Linked DNA regions of Callithrix jacchus. The protein of the gene in region 1 interacts with the protein of each later gene in a biochemical or structural test. Links are inferred from orthologs where the notes say so. Each region holds a gene or a part of one and is shown in the gene's direction. Other genes may lie near its edges.

What was found.
Region 2: the proteins of TERT (region 1) and PTGES3 form a complex in vitro, tested with the Homo sapiens proteins (2 studies listed by BioGRID). The link is inferred for Callithrix jacchus from reciprocal best matches to the Homo sapiens genes TERT and PTGES3.
Region 3: the proteins of TERT (region 1) and CIB1 form a complex in vitro, tested with the Homo sapiens proteins (2 studies listed by BioGRID). The link is inferred for Callithrix jacchus from reciprocal best matches to the Homo sapiens genes TERT and CIB1.
Region 4: the proteins of TERT (region 1) and TPP1 form a complex in vitro, tested with the Homo sapiens proteins (2 studies listed by BioGRID and IntAct). The link is inferred for Callithrix jacchus from reciprocal best matches to the Homo sapiens genes TERT and TPP1.
Region 5: the proteins of TERT (region 1) and HSP90AA1 form a complex in vitro, tested with the Homo sapiens proteins (2 studies listed by BioGRID). The link is inferred for Callithrix jacchus from reciprocal best matches to the Homo sapiens genes TERT and HSP90AA1.

The regions. Positions count from the first base shown.
Region 1 is NC_133503.1:204,793,305-204,797,438, forward strand, and holds the start of TERT (telomerase reverse transcriptase), read left to right. Parts: upstream 1-1,334; 5' UTR 1,335-1,423; coding exon 1,424-1,642; intron 1,643-1,737; coding exon 1,738-3,058; intron 3,059-4,134. UniProt on the Homo sapiens protein: Telomerase is a ribonucleoprotein enzyme essential for the replication of chromosome termini in most eukaryotes. Active in progenitor and cancer cells. Inactive, or very low activity, in normal somatic cells.
Region 2 is NC_133510.1:62,989,725-62,992,350, forward strand, and holds the end of PTGES3 (prostaglandin E synthase 3), read left to right. Parts: intron 1-1,205; coding exon 1,206-1,316; 3' UTR 1,317-2,123; downstream 2,124-2,626. UniProt on the Homo sapiens protein: Cytosolic prostaglandin synthase that catalyzes the oxidoreduction of prostaglandin endoperoxide H2 (PGH2) to prostaglandin E2 (PGE2).
Region 3 is NC_133507.1:19,354,573-19,358,607, reverse strand, and holds the start of CIB1 (calcium and integrin-binding protein 1), read left to right. Parts: upstream 1-1,233; 5' UTR 1,234-1,359; coding exon 1,360-1,410; intron 1,411-1,537; coding exon 1,538-1,572; intron 1,573-2,898; coding exon 2,899-3,007; intron 3,008-3,719; coding exon 3,720-3,870; intron 3,871-4,009; coding exon 4,010-4,035. UniProt on the Homo sapiens protein: Calcium-binding protein that plays a role in the regulation of numerous cellular processes, such as cell differentiation, cell division, cell proliferation, cell migration, thrombosis, angiogenesis, cardiac hypertrophy and apoptosis.
Region 4 is NC_133511.1:72,320,238-72,324,429, reverse strand, and holds the end of TPP1 (tripeptidyl-peptidase 1), read left to right. Parts: coding exon 1-119; coding exon of another isoform or gene 120-124; intron 125-368; coding exon 369-438; intron 439-879; coding exon 880-1,000; intron 1,001-1,113; coding exon 1,114-1,272; intron 1,273-1,449; coding exon 1,450-1,575; intron 1,576-1,755; coding exon 1,756-1,896; 3' UTR 1,897-3,683; downstream 3,684-4,192. UniProt on the Homo sapiens protein: Lysosomal serine protease with tripeptidyl-peptidase I activity. May act as a non-specific lysosomal peptidase which generates tripeptides from the breakdown products produced by lysosomal proteinases. Requires substrates with an unsubstituted N-terminus.
Region 5 is NC_133509.1:137,000,250-137,003,588, reverse strand, and holds the end of HSP90AA1 (heat shock protein HSP 90-alpha), read left to right. Parts: intron 1-233; coding exon 234-424; intron 425-524; coding exon 525-672; intron 673-914; coding exon 915-1,183; intron 1,184-1,465; coding exon 1,466-1,799; intron 1,800-2,065; coding exon 2,066-2,175; 3' UTR 2,176-2,824; downstream 2,825-3,339. UniProt on the Homo sapiens protein: Molecular chaperone that promotes the maturation, structural maintenance and proper regulation of specific target proteins involved for instance in cell cycle control and signal transduction.

The DNA.
Region 1 (4,134 bases):
TTACAAGGTGAGGCGAACCCCTAGCGAGTGTGATGGCTCAGGGAGGGCGCGAGGCCTGTTCAAATGCTAGGCCCATAAATAAAGCAATTTCCGCCCACACTCTCGGAAAGTAGGAAAGGTTACATTGAAGGTTGCATCTGTTAGCATTTCAGTGTTTGCCGACCTCAGCTACACGCTCCCCGCAAAGCCTCTGGAGACCCAGAAGTTTCTTACCTCCTAGATGCAAACTTGAGCAGCCGGAGTTGGGGCTCGGGGAAGTCCTCGGCTGTGCCCGGGCCCTGGGTCTGCAGGGGCCCAGCGGCTGCGTGGCTTCCTCAGCTGGGCTGGAGGTCGGGCCTTCTGGTTCAGCGGTCCGAGGCTGTAGCCAGGTGCCCGGACCCCCGAGGCTGCCCTCCTCCCTCTGCGGGTGGGAGTGACCGGAGTTTGGCCTCAGCTGGTGGACACCGCGCCAGGGCCCAGGGTAAAGGCAGCTGCGGCAGGTGTGAGGCCCCCAGTGCCGGGCCAGAGGAGCACCTGACTGCATGTCCCACCCTTCCTCGACGCGACGGCCCGGTGGGTGAACAGATCTGAGGTGGTTTGCTCATGGTGGGGACCCCTCGCGGCCTAAGAACCTGCAAAGAGAAAAGGAGACCAAGTCGCGGGGAAGTACTGCCCGTGGGCAGGGAGGCGCTCCGAGAGCCCCGCGTGCCCGTCCCGGGAGCGCTGTGCCCTGGGGGTCGTCCCCAGCCGCGTCTACGCGCTTCGGTCCTCCCCCGGAGCCCTGCATTCCCAGGGCCGGGAGCCCGCCGCCCTGCTTCTTCCCGACGTTCCCCGTCCGGACCGGGGGACAGCCCTGGCTCTAGGGGTCGGGCCCATCTGGGAAAGCCATGAAGTGAGCGCCCCACGCACCTGTGCCCAGGGCCACCGCCCCTCCCTCGGGTTACCCCGCGCTTGGGCTGACGTCACCCCTCTCTGCGGGGCCCTCGCTGGGGTCGCTGCACCCTGCGAGCGGCGGCGGCGCGCGGGCGGGAAGCGCGTCCCAGACCCCCGGGTCCGCACGGAGCAGCTGCGCGGTCGAGGCCAGGCCAGGCCGGGATCCCGGTGGATTCGGGGGCGCAGACGCCCGGGACTGCGCTGCCCACGTGGCGGAGGGAGAGGGACCCAGGCTTCCTAAACCCGGCCCGCCCCCGCCCTCACCTAGCTCCGCCGACTCCGCGCGGACCCCGCCCCCGTCCCCGTCCCGACCCCTCCCCGTCCCCGGTCCCCGGCCCCGCCCCCTCCGGCCCTCTCCGCCCCCTCCCCTCCAGCCCCGCCCCTCACTCTCCGGCCCCGCCCCTTCCTCTCCGCGGTCCCGCCTTCTCTTGGGGCGCAGGTTGGAGGCTGACCGCGCCGCGTCTTGCTGCGCACGTGGGACGCCGCGCTCCGGCCCTTGCAGTCCACCGCGATGCCGCGCGCGCCACGCTGCCGAGCCGTGCGCTCCCTGCTGCGCAGCCGCTACCGCGAGGTGCTGCCGCTGGCCACGTTTGTGCGGCGCCTGGGGCCCGAGGGCCGGCGGCTCGTGCAGCGCGGGGACCCGGCGGCTTTTCGCGCGCTGGTGGCGCAGTGCCTGGTGTGCGTGCCCTGGGACGCACGGCCGCCCCCCGCCGCCCCATCCTTCCACCAGGTGGGGTACCCGGGGTCCGCGTCCGGCGCGGGGGTGGGAGCGGAGCGGCGCGCGCACCCCCGGCGGGCGACTCAGGGCGCTTCCCCCGCCCGCAGGTGTCCCCCCTGAAGGAGCTGGTGGCCCGGGTGCTGCAGAGGCTTTGCGAGCGTGGCGCGAGGAACGTGCTGGCCTTCGGCTTCGCGCTGCTGGATGGCGCCGGCGGCGGCCCCCCCGAGGCCTTCACCACCAGCGTGCGCAGCTACCGGCCCAACACGGTGACCGAGACGCTGCGCGGCAGCGGGGCGTGGGCGCTGCTGCTGCGCCGCCTGGGCGACGACGTGCTGGTTTACCTGCTGGCGCACTGCGCGCTCTACGTGCTGGTGGCTCCCAGCTGCGCCTACCAGGTGTGCGGGCCGCCGCTGTACGAGCTCCGCACTGCGCCCGAGCCCCGGCCCGCGCCACACGCGGCTGGGACGCGAAGGGGCCTGGGACGCAAACGGGCCTGGAGCAGCAGCGTCAAGGAGCCCGGGGTCCGCCTGGGCCTGCCAGCCCCGGGTGAGAGAAGGCGCCGGGGCAGCGCCAGCGTAAGTCCACCGTGGCCCAAGAGGCCCAGGTGTGGGCCTGCCCTGGAGCCGGAGCGGACGCCTGTGGGGCAGGGATCTCGGGCGCACCCCGGCAGGACACGTGGACCGAGTGGCCACGGTTTCTGCGTGGTATCACCTGTGGGAGCAGCCGAGGAAGCCCCTGGCGCATGCCACTCGTACCCATCAGCGGGCCACCAGCCCGGGGCGGGGCCCCCATCCAAATCGCGGTCACCGCAGCCCCGGGACACGCCATGTCCCCTGGTCTATGCCGAGACCAAGCACTTCCTCTACTCTTCGGGTGCCCAGGAGCGGCTTCGGCCCTCCTTCCTACTCAGCGCCCTGCGCCCCAGCCTGACGGGCGCCCGCAGGCTCCTGGACACCATCTTTCTGGGTTCGAGGCCAGGGACGCCCCGCAGGCTGCCCCGCCTGCCCCAGCGCTACTGGCAGATGCGGCCCCTGTTTCTGGAGCTGCTCAGGAACCACGCGCGGTGCCCCTACGGGGCGCTCCTCAAGACACACTGCCCACTGCGGACTGCGGTCACCCCGGCGGCCCGTGTCTGTGCCCAGGAGCCCCTGGGTTCTGTGGCAGCCCCCGAGGAGGAGGACACAGACCCTCGTCGCCTGGTGCAGCTGCTCCGCCAGCACAGCAGCCCCTGGCAGGTGTACAGCTTCCTGCGGGCCTGCCTTCGCCGGCTGGTGCCTCCCGGCCTCTGGGGCTCCAGGCACAACGAGCGTCGCTTCCTCAGGAACACCAAGAAGTTCATCTCTCTGGGGAAGCATGCCAAGCTCTCGCTGCAGGAGCTGACCTGGAAGATGAGCGTGCGTGACTGCGCTTGGCTGCGCAGGAGCCCAGGTGAGGAGAGGGTGGCCGTCGAGGTCCCAGGCCCCAGAGCTTAATGCAGAAGGGGTTCAGAAAAGAGGGCAGGCAGAGCCCTGGTCCTCTGGTCTGCATCACGTGGGCACACGTGGCTTCTTGCTCAGGACGTCAGTGGACGTGGTGATCTCTGCCTCTGCGCTCTCTCTCCCGTCCAGTTTGCATAAAGCTATGAGGTTCGCCTTCAGGTTTTTTATGGACGTGCAGTTTCCAGGCGCTGAGGCCAGAGCAGTGAACAGACGGGGCGGGGCGTGCTGTGGAGCTGGGGTGCTCACAAGGTGGGGAAGCGGGTGGAAGCACAGACACTCTTGGCAGAGTGCCTGCAGGTTACCTATAATCCCCTTCACGATTTCAAGGATAGGAATGGGAGTTGAGGACAAAAACTCCCTCTTCCTGGGGTGGGAGGGAAGGGTTTTGCAGGTGCACATGGTCAGCCAATATGCAGGTTTGTATTTAAGATTTAATTGTGTTGGTGGCTCACATCTGTTATCCCAGTACTTTCGGAGGCAGAGGCAGGTGGATCACCTGAGGTCAGGAGTTCGAGACCAGCCTGGCCAACATGGCGAACGCCCATCTCTACTAAAAATGCAAAAACCAATTGGGCACGGTGGCGTGTGCCTGTAATCCCAGCTACTCAGGAGGCTGAGGCAGAAGAATCACTTTAACCCGGGAGGTTGCAGTGAGCTGAAATGGTGCCATTGCACTCCATCCTGGGTGACAAGAGTGAAACTGTCTCAAAAACAAAACAAAAAAATGGTGCATTGATTCTGCCAGGACAGAGTAGAGGGAGGGAGATAAAGAAGGCTGTCCTCCAGCACAGGTCCTGGTCCTGTCTGTAGGAGTGAAGAAGGCCACGTGGGAGCAGAGGACAGCAGATGGCTCCTGCTCAGGGAAGGGACGGTGCTGTGGGTGTTCGGGGGACAGTGCTGCTGGGTCCTGCCGTGTCCCCGCTCTGTTTTTCTGGGTTTGATGTGGAGGCACCTCTGCTGCACCCCCCTGTTGGCTCCCAGCACTCCCAGGCCTTGCAGTGGCAGCCGGAACAGGCCCTCCTCCTC
Region 2 (2,626 bases), on another chromosome or scaffold:
GGCCAGGAGTTTGAGACCAGCCTGGCCAATATGATGAAACCCTGTCTTTACTGAAGATAGAAAAATTAGCTGGGCATGGTGGCGTGTGCCTATTCTCCCAGCTACCCAGGAAGTTGAGGCAGGAGAATCATTTGAACCCAGGAAATAGAAGTTGCAGTGAGCCGAGATTGTGCCGCTGCACTCCGGCCTGGGCAACAGAGCAGGACTCTGTTTCAAAATAAAAAAGGCTGAGTATGGCGGCTCGTGCCTGTAATCTCATCACTTTGAGAAGCCGAGGCTGGTGGATCGCTATAGCCCAGGAATTCGAGACCAGCCTGGCCAAAATGGTGAAACCCTGTCTCTACTAAATAGAGAAAAATTAGCTCGGTATGGTGGTGCATGCCTGTAATCCCAGCTACCCAGGAGGCTGAGGCATGAGAATTGCTTGAACACAAAGGCAGAGGTTGCAGTGAACCAAGATCACACCACTGCACTCCAACCTGGATGACAGAGCAAGACTGTATCAAAAAAAAAAAAAATACCAGCTGGGCGTGGTGTGTCATTGTTGTAATCCCAGCACTTTGGGAGGCCAAGGTGGGTTGATCACCTGAGGTCAGGAGTTTGAGACCAGCCTGACCAACACGGAGAGACCCTGTCTCTACTAAAAATACAAAATTAGTTAGGCATGGTGGTGCATGCCTGTAATCCCAGCTACTCAGAAGGCTGAGGCAGGAGAATCTCTTGAATCTGGGAGACGGAGGTTGCAGTGAGCTGAGATCGCACGATTGCACTCCAGCCTGGACAACAAGAGCAAAACTTCATCTCAGGGAAACAACAAAAAAAGAATACCATAATACACAATCTACCTAACTTAAGATAGAAAGCTTTGCAACTACAGATGAATCCCATTCTTTTCTTTAACCACCAGAGGTAACCACTACTCAAGTAGAATTTTTAATGTCTGTCATACATTGATACTTGCTGCATGAGTAGCTTGGTTTTTCTTTAGGGAAAATTTAGTTTTAATTTCCGTACAGGTTTTTAGGATTTTGTGTAATTACCTATAATCTACCTTTCACAGAAGGGAAAATGCTTACATTTATTTTGCATTTTTCATTTGTGGATATCTGTGGCAGACTTAAGGTTTATTCTGAAGCATGCAGCCTAATAATTAGGGCCTAACGTAACAACATCATTTTTTAAACTAATTTTTACACTTCAAATAGATGATGAACAACATGGGTGGTGATGAGGATGTAGATTTACCAGAAGTAGATGGAGCAGATGATGTAAGTCTAAAAGTTTTTTTTTCTGTTTACTTTTATACTATTAAATAGTAAGAAACAGCATATTACAGGTGGTTTTATAGAGATTCAGGATTACTTCTTATTTTGTAAAAAAAAAAATAAAAAGGGAAAAGCAGTTTTTAAAATCTGCCCATTTTTGAGGAATGAATATCTACTAGGGAACTGGTTGTTCTGTAGACCATTCCTAAATGGATCAGATTTCAAAAGAATCATTGTATAGTGACATTATATATTAATACTTTACTGAATTATAAGAGTCAATTTAGGCTGGGTACAGTGGCTCATGCTTGTAATTCCAGCACTTTGGGAGGCTGAGGTGGGCAAATCACTTGAGGTCAGGAGTTCAAGACCAGCCTGGCCAACATGGTGAAACCATCTCTACAAAAATTAGCCAGGCAATAATGGCAGATGCCTGTAATCCTAGCTGCTGGAGAGGATACGGTTATGAGAATTCTTTAACCCAGGAGGTGGAGGTTGCAGTGAGCCAAGATCACATTATTGCACTCCAGCCTGGGCAACAGAGCAAGAGTCTGTCTCAGAAAAAGAATCGGTTTATAGGGATTATTTTGACTAAGAAAGCAAGTTAAATAGGTTTAATGTCAGGATTAGTCAGAGACCAGTTAAACAAATGGACGTTGTAAATCTGTAAGAGGATGATATATTAAACTACTTTTCTGAGCATCTTCCCAACACCAGCATTTTAACAGCTCCTGGAAAGTTATTTAATACAGTTTAGAAAAATATGTAATATTCACTCAACAGCTAGGATTAGAGTTCACTGTTTTCTGTCAGTCCATTGTTCTTCATATTGAACCATGTTTTCTCTTTGAATGCCAAGATAGAATTTAGGGAGGGATTCAAAATGTGGGCTGAATGTCTCCAAAAGGCACACACTAGTTTTTAACAGGTAGATAGATCCTCTGCTGTACATCCATTCACCTTAGGTAAACCTAGTCTTAAGTCCAGTGACTAAATTTCTATGCTTGATGTACTTAACTACCTGTGCTACTTTAGATCAAAAATACAGCACTTGAACTTAAGGTAAACTGTTCAGTTAGCAAAGGAATATTTGGTCAGCTCAGTAACTTTTCTAAATTTTGCCTCTTGCAGGATTCACAAGACAGTGATGATGAAAGTAAGTGTATATAAAAAGTATGTTTACACAGTGATATTTTACATCAAAAACCAAACTCAAAAAAGTGATGTTAACTTTGGAAGAAAAGTAATTTTTTCTTTATGACCTCGAATAAATAACCAAAACAGAAATGTGAATTACTTGAGATAGCAAGACCACCTACCTATTCATTGGGAAACGATATATTTTTGATTTTTGGTTGCTT
Region 3 (4,035 bases), on another chromosome or scaffold:
AGTTAATCCCAGCCTGACCAACACAACCTCCACTTCCACCTCCCAGCAGTTTGGCGTCCTTACCTTTTGCAGTAGAATACGTTCATTCATTCATTATGCATTTGATAATATTTACCGAGAACGTACTATGTGCCAAGCATTGTCCTAGAGGTTAAGAGGGGACCAGAGCAAAAGGGTCAGCTTTGATCTCTATAGCCTAGGGCATACAGTCTAGGGGTGGGATGGGGTCAAAGGATGGCATGTCAGCTGGAATGATGCAAACAGCAGTGGAGAGCCTTGAAAAGTGCCTTGGAGCCGGGCGCGGTGGCTCACGCCTGTAATCCCAGCACTTTGGGAGGCCGAGGCAGGCGGATCACGAGGTCAAGAGATGGAGACCACCCTGGCCAACAGGGTGAAACCCCGTCTCCACTAAAATACAAAAATTAGCTGGGCATGGTGGCGCGCGCCTGTAGTCCCAGCTACTTGGGAGGCTGAGGCAGGAGAACTGCTTGAACCCAGGAGGCAGCCAAGATCCCGCCATTGCCCTCCAGCCTGGAGCCTGGCGACAGAGGGAGACTGTGTCTCCAAAAAAAAGAAGACAAGTGCCTTGGACTGGATCAATCACTTTCTAAACGCCGGAGCCCGGACACATCACTAAATCCCTCTGGACTTACGTATTTCCACCTTTGTAAAATGGATACCTACCTTGCAGTCGAAGAAAACTATGCACACTGCTTGACATCCAGTAGGTCCTCAGTAAATAGCCTCAGAAGGAAGCAAGGTTCGGGTTACTTCTGGAAGAGGCGGCTTGGGGGCTGCGACAGGTGCCTCGATTGCCTGATAACGTCTAGAAAATCCTTGCTGGGCAGAGGGGCAGCCGAAGACCCCGGCCACTCAGCGAGTCTCCAGGTTTCCTGTAAACGTCAGCTCTAGTGACTTCTCAGATGCCCCTATGGGACTCCACACAGGGCTGCCGCCGCCACCACCTACAGCAGCCGAGGAGGATACACCGCGCGACCTTCCCGGCAGCGGCTGCAGGGACCGCTGCCAGGAAGCGACGCCCGTGACGCATGCGCAGCCAGCACGCATGCGCGCGGTGTGGCTCGTCCCGCCCACCCCGGAGGCGGGGCCGTGAGGCCTGGGCTCTGCCCCGGGGCATCAGGCCCCGCCCCTTACCCCGCCCCCAGCTCGCCTGGGACCGCCCGGAGCGGGGAGCTCGCCTGCCAACCCGGCTAGGAGCGCCTGGGCGCGTTTAGGCGGGGGCGGTGGCCCCTGGAGCGGTTGCCGCGGGGACCGGGCTGAGACGCGGCCCAAAGGCGGAAGTGAGAAAGTTGTCGGCGTCTCGAGGCGAGTTGGCGGAGCGTTGCGCGCGGCGCGGCTATGGGGGGCTCGGGCAGTCGCCTGTCCAAGGATCTGCTGGCCGAGTATCAGGTGCGCGGGACGCCGGGCCCTAGGGAGTCGCGTGCCGGTCTGTTCCCGGGCGGGGTCCGGGAGCGGCGGCGGGGCGGTCACGGCCTCCCGGCGGCCCGATAACCCCCGCTCTGGCTTTGCATTCCAGGACTTGACGTTCCTGACGAAGCAAGAGATCCTCCTGTAAGTGCTGCCTTGAACCCCGCCTCTGATCCCGGGCTCCTCTAGAGGCGGACTCGCGGGGGGCGCTGTCCCAAGGGAGGGGCGGGGGCCGGCCTGAGGTCGGCTGAGGGGCTGGGGCTGGAGGCCGGGAGACCCTGCCCGGGCTGCGCCCTCCCCGCCCTCGCCGGGGGCTCTGCGTGGCAGCCTCCGAGAAAAGTTAGGTGCTCTTTGACCCTGAGCTGACTAGCTTCATCACTGCCGAACTTCCTGCTCTAGTCCGGCAGGGGCCGGCTTTGCGCAGTGGCTAAGCCACGGAAGCCTTGGGGAGTCTGGCTCCTTCTCCCAACTTGACCTGAACAATACAGGAACCGTTAACGCTTTCTGAGCACTCACCTTGTGCCAGGGACTGTGCTAAATGGTTGCCTGCATGACCTAATTTAATCTTTAGGAGAGAGGTACTGGACAATGAAACAGGTTCAGAGAGGTTTGCTAACTGCCTAAGACAACACTCTGAGCAAGTAGATTTGAACTTGACCTGGAAGCCCTTTTGCCAGATATATGCAGGGCGGGCACTTGAGTGAGGAGATGCCTGGGCTTCCTGCGCAAAGATGATCTCATGGGAAGGAGATGGAGGCTGAGGAGGAGGACAGTTCAGGGTGGCTGCTAAAAAGGAGGTTTTGAAGGCAAGAGATCCCTGGAGTGGAGGTGATAATGAGATTTTTGGTTTTGTTTTTTTCTCCCTGTATGTATGTATGTATGTATGTATTTATTTATTTATCAAGACAGAGTCTCTGCCCAGGCTGGAGTGCTGTGGCACGATCTCTGCTGACTGCAGCCTCTGCCTCCTGGGTTCAAGTGATTCTCCTGCCTCAGCCTCCTGAATAGCTGGGATTACAGGCACCAGCCACCATGCCCGGCAAATTTTTGTATTTTAGTCGAGATAGGGTTTTACCATTTTGCTCAGGCTGGTCTCAAACTCCTGACCTCAAATGCTTTGCCCACCTTGGCCTTCCAAAGTGCTGGGGTTACAGGCGTGAGCCATAGCACCTGGCCAGTTCTTTAGGGCCAACTTCTGGCTCCATCCCCAACCTCTTTATCCCTCGGGGATCTCTAGAATCAGTGCCCAGCACATAGTAGATGCTCAGTAAATACTCACCGTAAGACTAGACTCCTAGGCTGTACAGCCTCCTGACATGTCCTTTTGCTTACTGTTGCCTGATGACTGGGAAGTTCTATGTACGTGGTTTCAGCTCCTCACTTGGTTGATGAGCAGCAGGCAAGGAGTGGGAATGAACACACAGGGACACCTATCGCTGAGAGGGCCAACCGTTCCCCTCTCTCTGCCAGAGCCCACAAGCGGTTTTGTGAGCTGCTTCCCCAGGAGCAGCAGAGCGTGGAGGCGTCACTTCGGGCACAAGTGTCCTTCGAGCAGATCCTCAGCCTTCCAGAGCTCAAGGTGCCAGTGCTCCCCTCCTTTGACCCCTCCCTCACCACTCCCTCCCTGCTAGACCCCCCTAACTCCATCTGCCGCTAGCTTTGAGATCATGAGGTCACTGGTCCCCATTCTGGTCATTTCTCTGCTTAGTTCTAATTTTCTGGGGGCAAGGACTTTACTAATATCACCTGGCAGAATTCTCTAGAATGGTGCTTTTCAAATGGGGATTCTAGGACATATTCTTGGAAGTTCAAAGAAGTTTTGTCCTTTAAGAGGAGTTGAGTTACCATATTAAGGTTTGAGGAACCCTGTTCTAGAGGGTGATTGCAAATTCACAGGGCTGTTGTGAAAATTTTGTGCAAAGGGTCTGAGCCAGGGCCTATAACACAATAGGTGTTCAGTTAACCATTCGTGTTTTAAAATAACCAGCCCATCTCGTTCCCTTTGCTTAAGATGCCTTCTTCTTCCCTCTTTGCTCACACTTAGGTTGTACATGACCTGCCTTTGGGTTAAACACTTGACTCCCAGGAAGCTGTCTCAGTCCCTTCCCCAACTGGCTCAGTTTGCCCTCCTGTGCCCCCATGGCCCTGCATGTTGGCCCCAAAGCACTGATCATTCACCCTTGAGAGCCTGAGCTCCCTGCTGCTGATCCTATGACCTGCTCTCCCAAGTTTCTAATAGTGTTTGATGAGTGTGTGACCTGGGCCACGTCCTATGGTATTTGTTCTCCTAGGCCAACCCCTTCAAGGAGCGAATCTGCAGAGTCTTCTCCACGTCCCCAACCAGAGACAGCCTTAGCTTCGAGGACTTCCTGGACCTCCTCAGTGTGTTCAGTGACACAGCCACGCCAGATATCAAGTCCCATTATGCCTTCCGAATCTTCGGTGAGAACCAAAGCCCGGTGGGACACCACCCTTTCCCACGTGGGCTTTGTGGTGGCCATGCTTGGGAAATGGGCACCGTTTGTGGAACCTCAGAGCCCCTCCTGACCATGTCTTTTGGCTTCCTGTGTCTGCTCTCTAGACTTTGATGATGATGGAACCTTGAAC
Region 4 (4,192 bases), on another chromosome or scaffold:
TGTGCATACTGTGAGTTATGGAGATGATGAGGACTCCCTCAGTAGCGCCTACATCCAGCGGGTCAACACTGAGCTCATGAAGGCCGCCACTCGGGGTCTCACCCTGCTCTTCGCCTCAGGTGACCTCCTGCCCTAAACTTAGACACCCCCTCCACCCTTGCAACCTGGAAACTTTGGCCCCACAGTGACCCCTGAGCCTGGTCTCTAACTCACAATCTAAACTGAGACCTTCCAACTGGGACCACTGACCTGACCTCTAAACTCTGACCTCCTGCAGTAATAGCTGACACCTAAATTTCCTCTCTGACATCTGAACCCACATACTAAGCCCTAACAAATTAATGAGTGCTACATTTGGTCTCTCTCAGGTGACAGTGGGGCTGGGTGTTGGTCTGTCTCTGGAAGACACCAGTTCCGTCCTTCCTTCCCTGCCTCCAGGTAAGAACTCTAGCCTACCACTCAGGTATAACCACCACCTTTCACTTGTGAACTCATGATGTAGAACCTTTGTCTTGACTCCACCATGTGCTCCTGTGGTTCAGCTTTAAGCTTTGCCTGTCCTGGCTGCTGCACTCCTGTCTCTTCTTCCTGTAGGTCCCAGTCCCCAAATCTCTTATGTGGGATACAGCTCCCACTGTTTCTTTTCCTCAGTCCCCAGGCATTTTAGTGGAAGATTTGGTGGATGTTCTACAGAGAAAAGTGTGCACAGTCACCTCAGGCCATGCCTTGAAGGCTCAAAAGTCTTAGTCAATCCCATATACATGCTTCCCCACAAAGTCTAATTTCTCCAGCAAGACCTGGGCCATACTCACCCCTCCCCACACATCTTGGAGGTCTGCTTGCATCCCCTACTATCTGAATGCTGTCTTCTGCCCTCAGCCCCTATGTCACCACAGTGGGAGGCACAAGCTTCCAGAATCCTTTCCGCATCACAAATGAGATTGTTGACTATATCAGTGGTGGTGGCTTCAGCAATGTGTTCCCACGACCTTCATACCAGGTACATGTGTTTATGTGGATGGATGCAGGGTGAGAGTGGGGATGGGGGATCCTCAGTTCAGCTGACTGCTGGGCAGGCCACAGGCCAATTTCTCATTCAAAAATGCCTTTCAGGAGGAAGCTGTAGCCAAGTTCCTGAACTCTAGCCCCCACCTGCCACCATCCAGTTACTTCAATGCCAGTGGCCGTGCCTACCCAGATGTGGCTGCACTTTCCGATGGCTACTGGGTGGTCAGCAACAGTGTGCCCATACCATGGGTGTCTGGAACCTCGGTGAGAATCAACCCATCTCCAAACTCTCACTCAGGAATTACTCTTACCCACTAACACCTTGAGCACCTTGTATCCAGAACCCAACTACTTAGAGATGTCTCATACTCTAAAGCTTTACTCCAAAAAAGTCCAGTCACTCAGAACCCCTGACTTCTACTTGCACCTTCACTCTTGCAGGCCTCTACTCCAGTGTTTGGGGGGCTCCTATCCTTGATCAATGAGCACAGAATCCTCAGTGGCCGCCCCCCTCTTGGCTTTCTCAATCCAAGGCTCTACCAGCAGCATGGGGCAGGACTCTTCGATGTGAGTATGGAAGGGAAGGGTGTGAACATTTTCATGCAACTATGGGGAGTGATAAGGGGTACTTGGGGGGCAGTTGGGATGCTGTTGATTGGCCTCTGAAATGTGAATATAGGGTAGGGAGGTATACTCTTTAAGTACTGGTACGAGCAGGCCCAGATCTGATGCCACCCTCCTCCCTAGGTAACCCATGGCTGCCATGAGTCCTGTCTGAATGAAGAGGTGGAGGGCCAGGGTTTCTGCTCTGGCCCTGGCTGGGATCCTGTGACAGGCTGGGGAACACCCAACTTCCCAGCTTTGCTGAAGTCTCTACTCAACCCCTGACCCTTTCCTATCAGGAGAGGTGACTTGTCCCCTGCCCTGAAGCTGGCAGTTCAGTACCGTATTTTGCCCTGTTGGAAGCCCTGCTGAACCCTCAGCTGCACACTGATGCAGACAACTTATCTCCCTAACCCTGAAATGCTGTGTGCTTGACTTGACTCTCAACCCTACCATGCTCCATCATACTCAGGTCTCCCTACTCCTGCCTTAGAATCCTCAATAAGATACTATAACTACCATTTTTTGAATGCCTCTTCCCCCACAGCTCATCTTCCTCTTTCAATCAGGCTTTTCCAAAGAGTTGTATACAGACTCTGTGCACTAGTTCACTTCATAATCACTCCTCAATTCATTGCAAGGAGAGCTCTACTCTCACCTTTTACTCTTTCCTATCCTGACATCCAGAAACAATGGCCTGCAGTGCATACTTCTCAATCTTTGCTTTATGGCCTTTCCATCATAGTTGCCCACTCCCTCTCCTTACTTAGCTTTCAGGGCTTAACTTCTCTGACCACTGTTATCTTTCTCCTTCATCAGCTTCTGCTTCTTCATGGAATGCTGATCTGCATTGCTCCATTCGTAGGGTTTTGCTTTTCTCAGTTTACTCATTGTCCCCTGGAACAAATCACTGACATCTACAACCACTATCATCTCACTAAATAAGACTTTCTATCCAAAAGTGATTGACACCCCAAATTTAAGACGTGTGATACTCAACATTTCATCTTCCACCTTCCCAACCCCAAACAATTCCATCTCTTGTTTCTTCTTGGCAAATGATGCTATGCTTTTTCCAACCAAGCCAGAAACCCATGTCATCTTTCTACTCCACCTTCAATCAACAAGTCCTACTGACTGTACCTCTTAAATATATCTTCATCAGTCCACAAGTCCTTCCAATTATATTTCCCAAATATATCTAGAACTTATCCACTTCTATCCCCACTACTACTACATTTTTTAGGGCCATGTTCTCCTGGAAAAACAAACAAACAAAAAACAACAACAAAAAAGTGTTCTTCCTGCCAACCCCAAACCATCTTCCAGAGTAAAATGCAAATCCCATCAGGCCACTTGATGAAAACCCTTCAAGGATTACTGGATAGAGTTCAGGCTTTTTTATTTTTCCAATCATAGTTCACAAACCTTCCTTGCTATTTGTTCCTAAGTAACAAATCATTTTTCCTCCTCCCTCCCCAAACTCCTAGAACTCTCACTCTTGCTCAAGCTGCTCCGTCCCCTTAACACCACCACCCTTGATAAAATTGCCTCGTTAATTTCCAGAATTCTTGCAAGACTCAGCTCAGAAGTCACCTTCTGTCATGAATGCTTTGATTCCCTGAGGCTACTTTATTTTGGTATGCGTAAAAAAACCCCTAGATTTTCTAAACAAAACCTCTTTGAATCTTGGTTCTGAAATGGACTAGGAGACCGACTGGGTCAAGTAAGTTTAACACCCTGAAGCTGTTTCCTCGTCTGTTAAGTGGGAATATCAATACCTGCCTTTCATAATAACGAGGAAATAAAGTGAAATAACGTTGATACGAATGCTTGGGACCTGGGAGTAGGTAGCAGATGTTAACGCCCTTCCTCCCTTGCACTGCACCCCCTGTGCCTACCTCTAGCATTGTAACATCCACATAGTATTGAAATGGCCAGTTTACTTGTTTGGCTTCCTTTCCAAGACCGCTGGTGCCTAGAGGACTAGAATCACGTCCTATTTAACTGTAATCCCCAGACCCTAGCTCAGGAGTTGGCAAATAAGAATTAAATGTCTGCTACATTGAAAACCCCACGTCTTTCACTCGCTGTGATTTTTGCGTATGCTGTTGACTCAGGCTGAAACCCCTCCTCCTCCTACAGCAGCACTGTGTGCCGGCCCACTGCTGCCCCCACCTCTCGGGGCAGTTGGTGGAGAAGGGGGCTTTCCAAATCCACTACGAACCCTTAAAAGGCTGAATAAGGGAACTTGAAAGGATGCAGACAGGCAGGCAATCCGTAGTCGAGGGATGTAGGGCCATAAACCTCGAAGCAAGGTCTTGAACGTCAGGCAGAACGAGCTGAAAGAGGAGTCAGAGGAGTCCCAGATGAACGCTGGTTCCGGTCTCGACTGAATCGCCGCGGAGCACGGCACAGGCTAGGGCGGAATGGCGACGGCAAGCGCAGTTGGCCAAGGCTTGGTCTCCTCCCTTCAGCCTATTTTCTCTAACCCGCAGACCCGCTACCGGAGGAGGCGGGGAGCGGGCCGGAGAGTGCTAACAGTGACAGGCGGGGCGAGTCGTGGGCGCGTGACGTCACC
Region 5 (3,339 bases), on another chromosome or scaffold:
TGGGTGCCTGGAGTCCAGCTGAGTCTTGAGAATAGCTTGAATAGGGAGAGGGGAGTGGGAGATAGGTTGCAGTGGGCAGAGATCGGGCCACTGCACTCCACCCTGTAAAACAGACCCATCTTAATACATATGTATATATTTTGAGGTTTTTACGTTTGATTTTTTGGGGGTTATCTAGCACCAGTTTTGTCTTTGGAATGACTCAGTGCATTTGGTTTTTATATTTTTTTCAGACTTCATTAGAGGGGTGGTAGACTCAGAGGATCTCCCTCTAAATATTTCCCGTGAGATGTTGCAACAAAGCAAGATTTTGAAAGTTATCAGGAAGAATCTGGTCAAAAAATGCTTAGAACTCTTCACTGAACTGGCAGAAGATAAAGAGAACTACAAGAAGTTCTATGAGCAGTTCTCTAAAAACATAAAGGTTAGTGTAAATATTTGACCATTAGTAGTTTTCCAACTGGCCTCTTTTTAGATTTTTTTTAAATTCAAGACATCTTTGTAAAGAACTTACTTTGTTTCAGCTTGGAATACACGAAGACTCTCAAAATCGGAAGAAGCTTTCAGAGCTGTTGAGATACTACACATCTGCCTCTGGTGATGAGATGGTATCTCTCAAAGACTACTGCACCAGAATGAAGGAAAACCAGAAACATATCTATTATATCACAGGTAGGGGGACAGTACATTACACTCAAACACTTTGTTCTTGGAACCTTGTAGGCTCTGGATGTGTTTTCTACTCAGGTAGCACTGTTAGTATAACTGGTGTTGATCTAAGCAGGATACTTAACATGAGCTCAGTCATCTGTTTTCGGTTCTGCCTAGGTATCTGACTAGTAAGAAAAGTCAGAAGTAGGTGAAGCCATTCCTTACTGTCAAAAGGTATAAAAGTAACTTTTATAATACCTCAGGTGAGACCAAGGACCAAGTAGCTAACTCAGCCTTTGTGGAACGTCTTCGAAAGCATGGCTTAGAAGTGATCTATATGATTGAGCCCATTGATGAGTACTGTGTCCAACAGCTGAAGGAATTTGAGGGGAAGACTTTAGTGTCAGTCACCAAAGAGGGCTTGGAACTTCCAGAGGATGAAGAAGAGAAAAAGAAACAGGAAGAGAAGAAAACAAAGTTTGAGAACCTCTGCAAAATCATGAAAGACATACTGGAGAAAAAGGTTGAAAAGGTATGTGAATACAGCATTTCCTGATGATTGATACCTCTAAGGGGCTTTCAAGCTTACATAACCCATTTTCCCTTGTTCTCAGCTTCACTGAAAACTATGGTTGTGTATGTAAAACACAATTTTAGCCTGTGCTGTTTGGATACCTAATAAAACCTTAAGTTGTATTTGATAGTAGATGGTATTTCCGACATATTGATATTTTGGTTCTTCAGATTTCATTTCACAATGAAAGTTTAGGTTTTAATCTTTCTAGGCTCCTAAGTTCTTACTTCTTCATTACAGGTGGTTGTGTCAAACCGATTGGTGACGTCTCCATGCTGTATTGTCACAAGCACATACGGCTGGACAGCAAACATGGAGAGAATCATGAAAGCTCAAGCCCTGAGAGACAACTCAACAATGGGTTACATGGCAGCAAAGAAACACCTGGAGATAAACCCTGACCATTCCATCATCGAGACCTTAAGGCAAAAGGCGGAGGCTGATAAGAACGACAAGTCTGTGAAGGATCTGGTCATCTTGCTTTATGAAACCGCTCTCCTGTCTTCAGGCTTCAGTCTGGAGGATCCCCAGACACATGCTAACAGGATCTACAGGATGATCAAACTTGGTCTAGGTAAGCCTTAAACTGTGTCAAGTTGAAAAGCAATCATACATGACTTGTGAAAAAGTGGTTAATGTTATCCAAACTTGGAGCACCTTGTCCTGCTCAGAGGCATTCAGGTATCTTTTTCTACAGGGATAAGGTGTTACAAGAGCTAAGAAACGAAGATTCCTATGCCCAGTAATACTGTCTTGAAAGCAGATGTAAACCAGGAGTATTAATACTAATTAGCTGGCTTTAAGAAATCTTCCTAATAGAGGATTTTCTTTTGAAAACAGGTATTGATGAAGATGACCCTACTGCTGATGATACCAGTGCAGCTGTAACTGAAGAAATGCCACCCCTCGAAGGAGATGACGACACGTCACGCATGGAAGAAGTAGACTAAGCTCCATCTGAGGGATGACTTACCTGTTCAGTACTCTACAGTTCCTCTAATAATATATTTTCAAGGATGTTTTTCTTTATTTTTGTTAACATTAAAAAGTCTATGGCATGATCACAACTATAAGGGGAAGGTAGATCTCTGCCGACTTCTGAGCGATGCTGTGATACTGTAGGCAGTAACGCAGAGCTAGTAATGCTTGTTTAGTTTCACGTTGGCTTACATTAACAGATCGAGGTACTTTGTGTTGTAAGATGTATGTAACATGTTAACTTTGTGGTCTAAAGTGTTTAGCAAGCCAGATTCCTTAGTAGACCAAATCTTGTTATCGAAGTGTTCCCAAGCTATACTTTGATGTTTAGAAGAGAAGTGTTTGTTATACCTTGTAGGATCTACTTTCTGAACTCTTCCTCCCTGTAGTTGCCAATTCTGCATGTACTAGTCCTCTAGAAATAGGTTAAACTGAAGCAACTTGATGGAACTCTCCACAGGGCTTGTTTTCCAAAGAAAGTATTGTTTGGAGGAGCAGTTATTAGCCTACCTAAGCATACCATAAGCTGTTCAAAGTAACTCAGAGCCAGTCTTGTGGATGGAAATGTAGTGCTCGAGTTACATTCTGCTTAAAGTTGTAACAAATACAGATGAGTTAAAAGAAGTTGCGTGACAGTGTCTGTCTTGGGCAGAGAAGGGGAGTATTCTTGATGTGACAGCATTGGTGCCACAATGTAAAACATGAGGTACTAGCAGGAGGTGACTAACATTGGCCACTGTAAGGGTTGACATGATCTTCCCAATGTGTACTTCTGGTGCGTGTGGGGTGGAGTACATGTAGACAGAAAATAATGCAGACAATGTGCATCCCATGTGCACGTCTGCACTGTTGTGATGATATTCATGGGACACCTTGTGTCTTAAATGTAGTCAGTTCCTTGGCCTTTTGTCTCAGTTCATTACCAGATTTCTTTAAACTCAGTGTCTAAAGTCGCTCATTTTCTGGTCCTTTGAGCTCGTTGTGAGCAGTAGGTAACAAGTCGGTAGGGGAAAGATTAGCTGGCATGTCTCCAAAGGTTTAAAAAATACTGGGCACAGTGGCTCACCCCTATAATCTAGCACTTTGGGACACTGAGGTGGGTGGATCATGTGAGGTCAGCCTGACAAACATGGAGA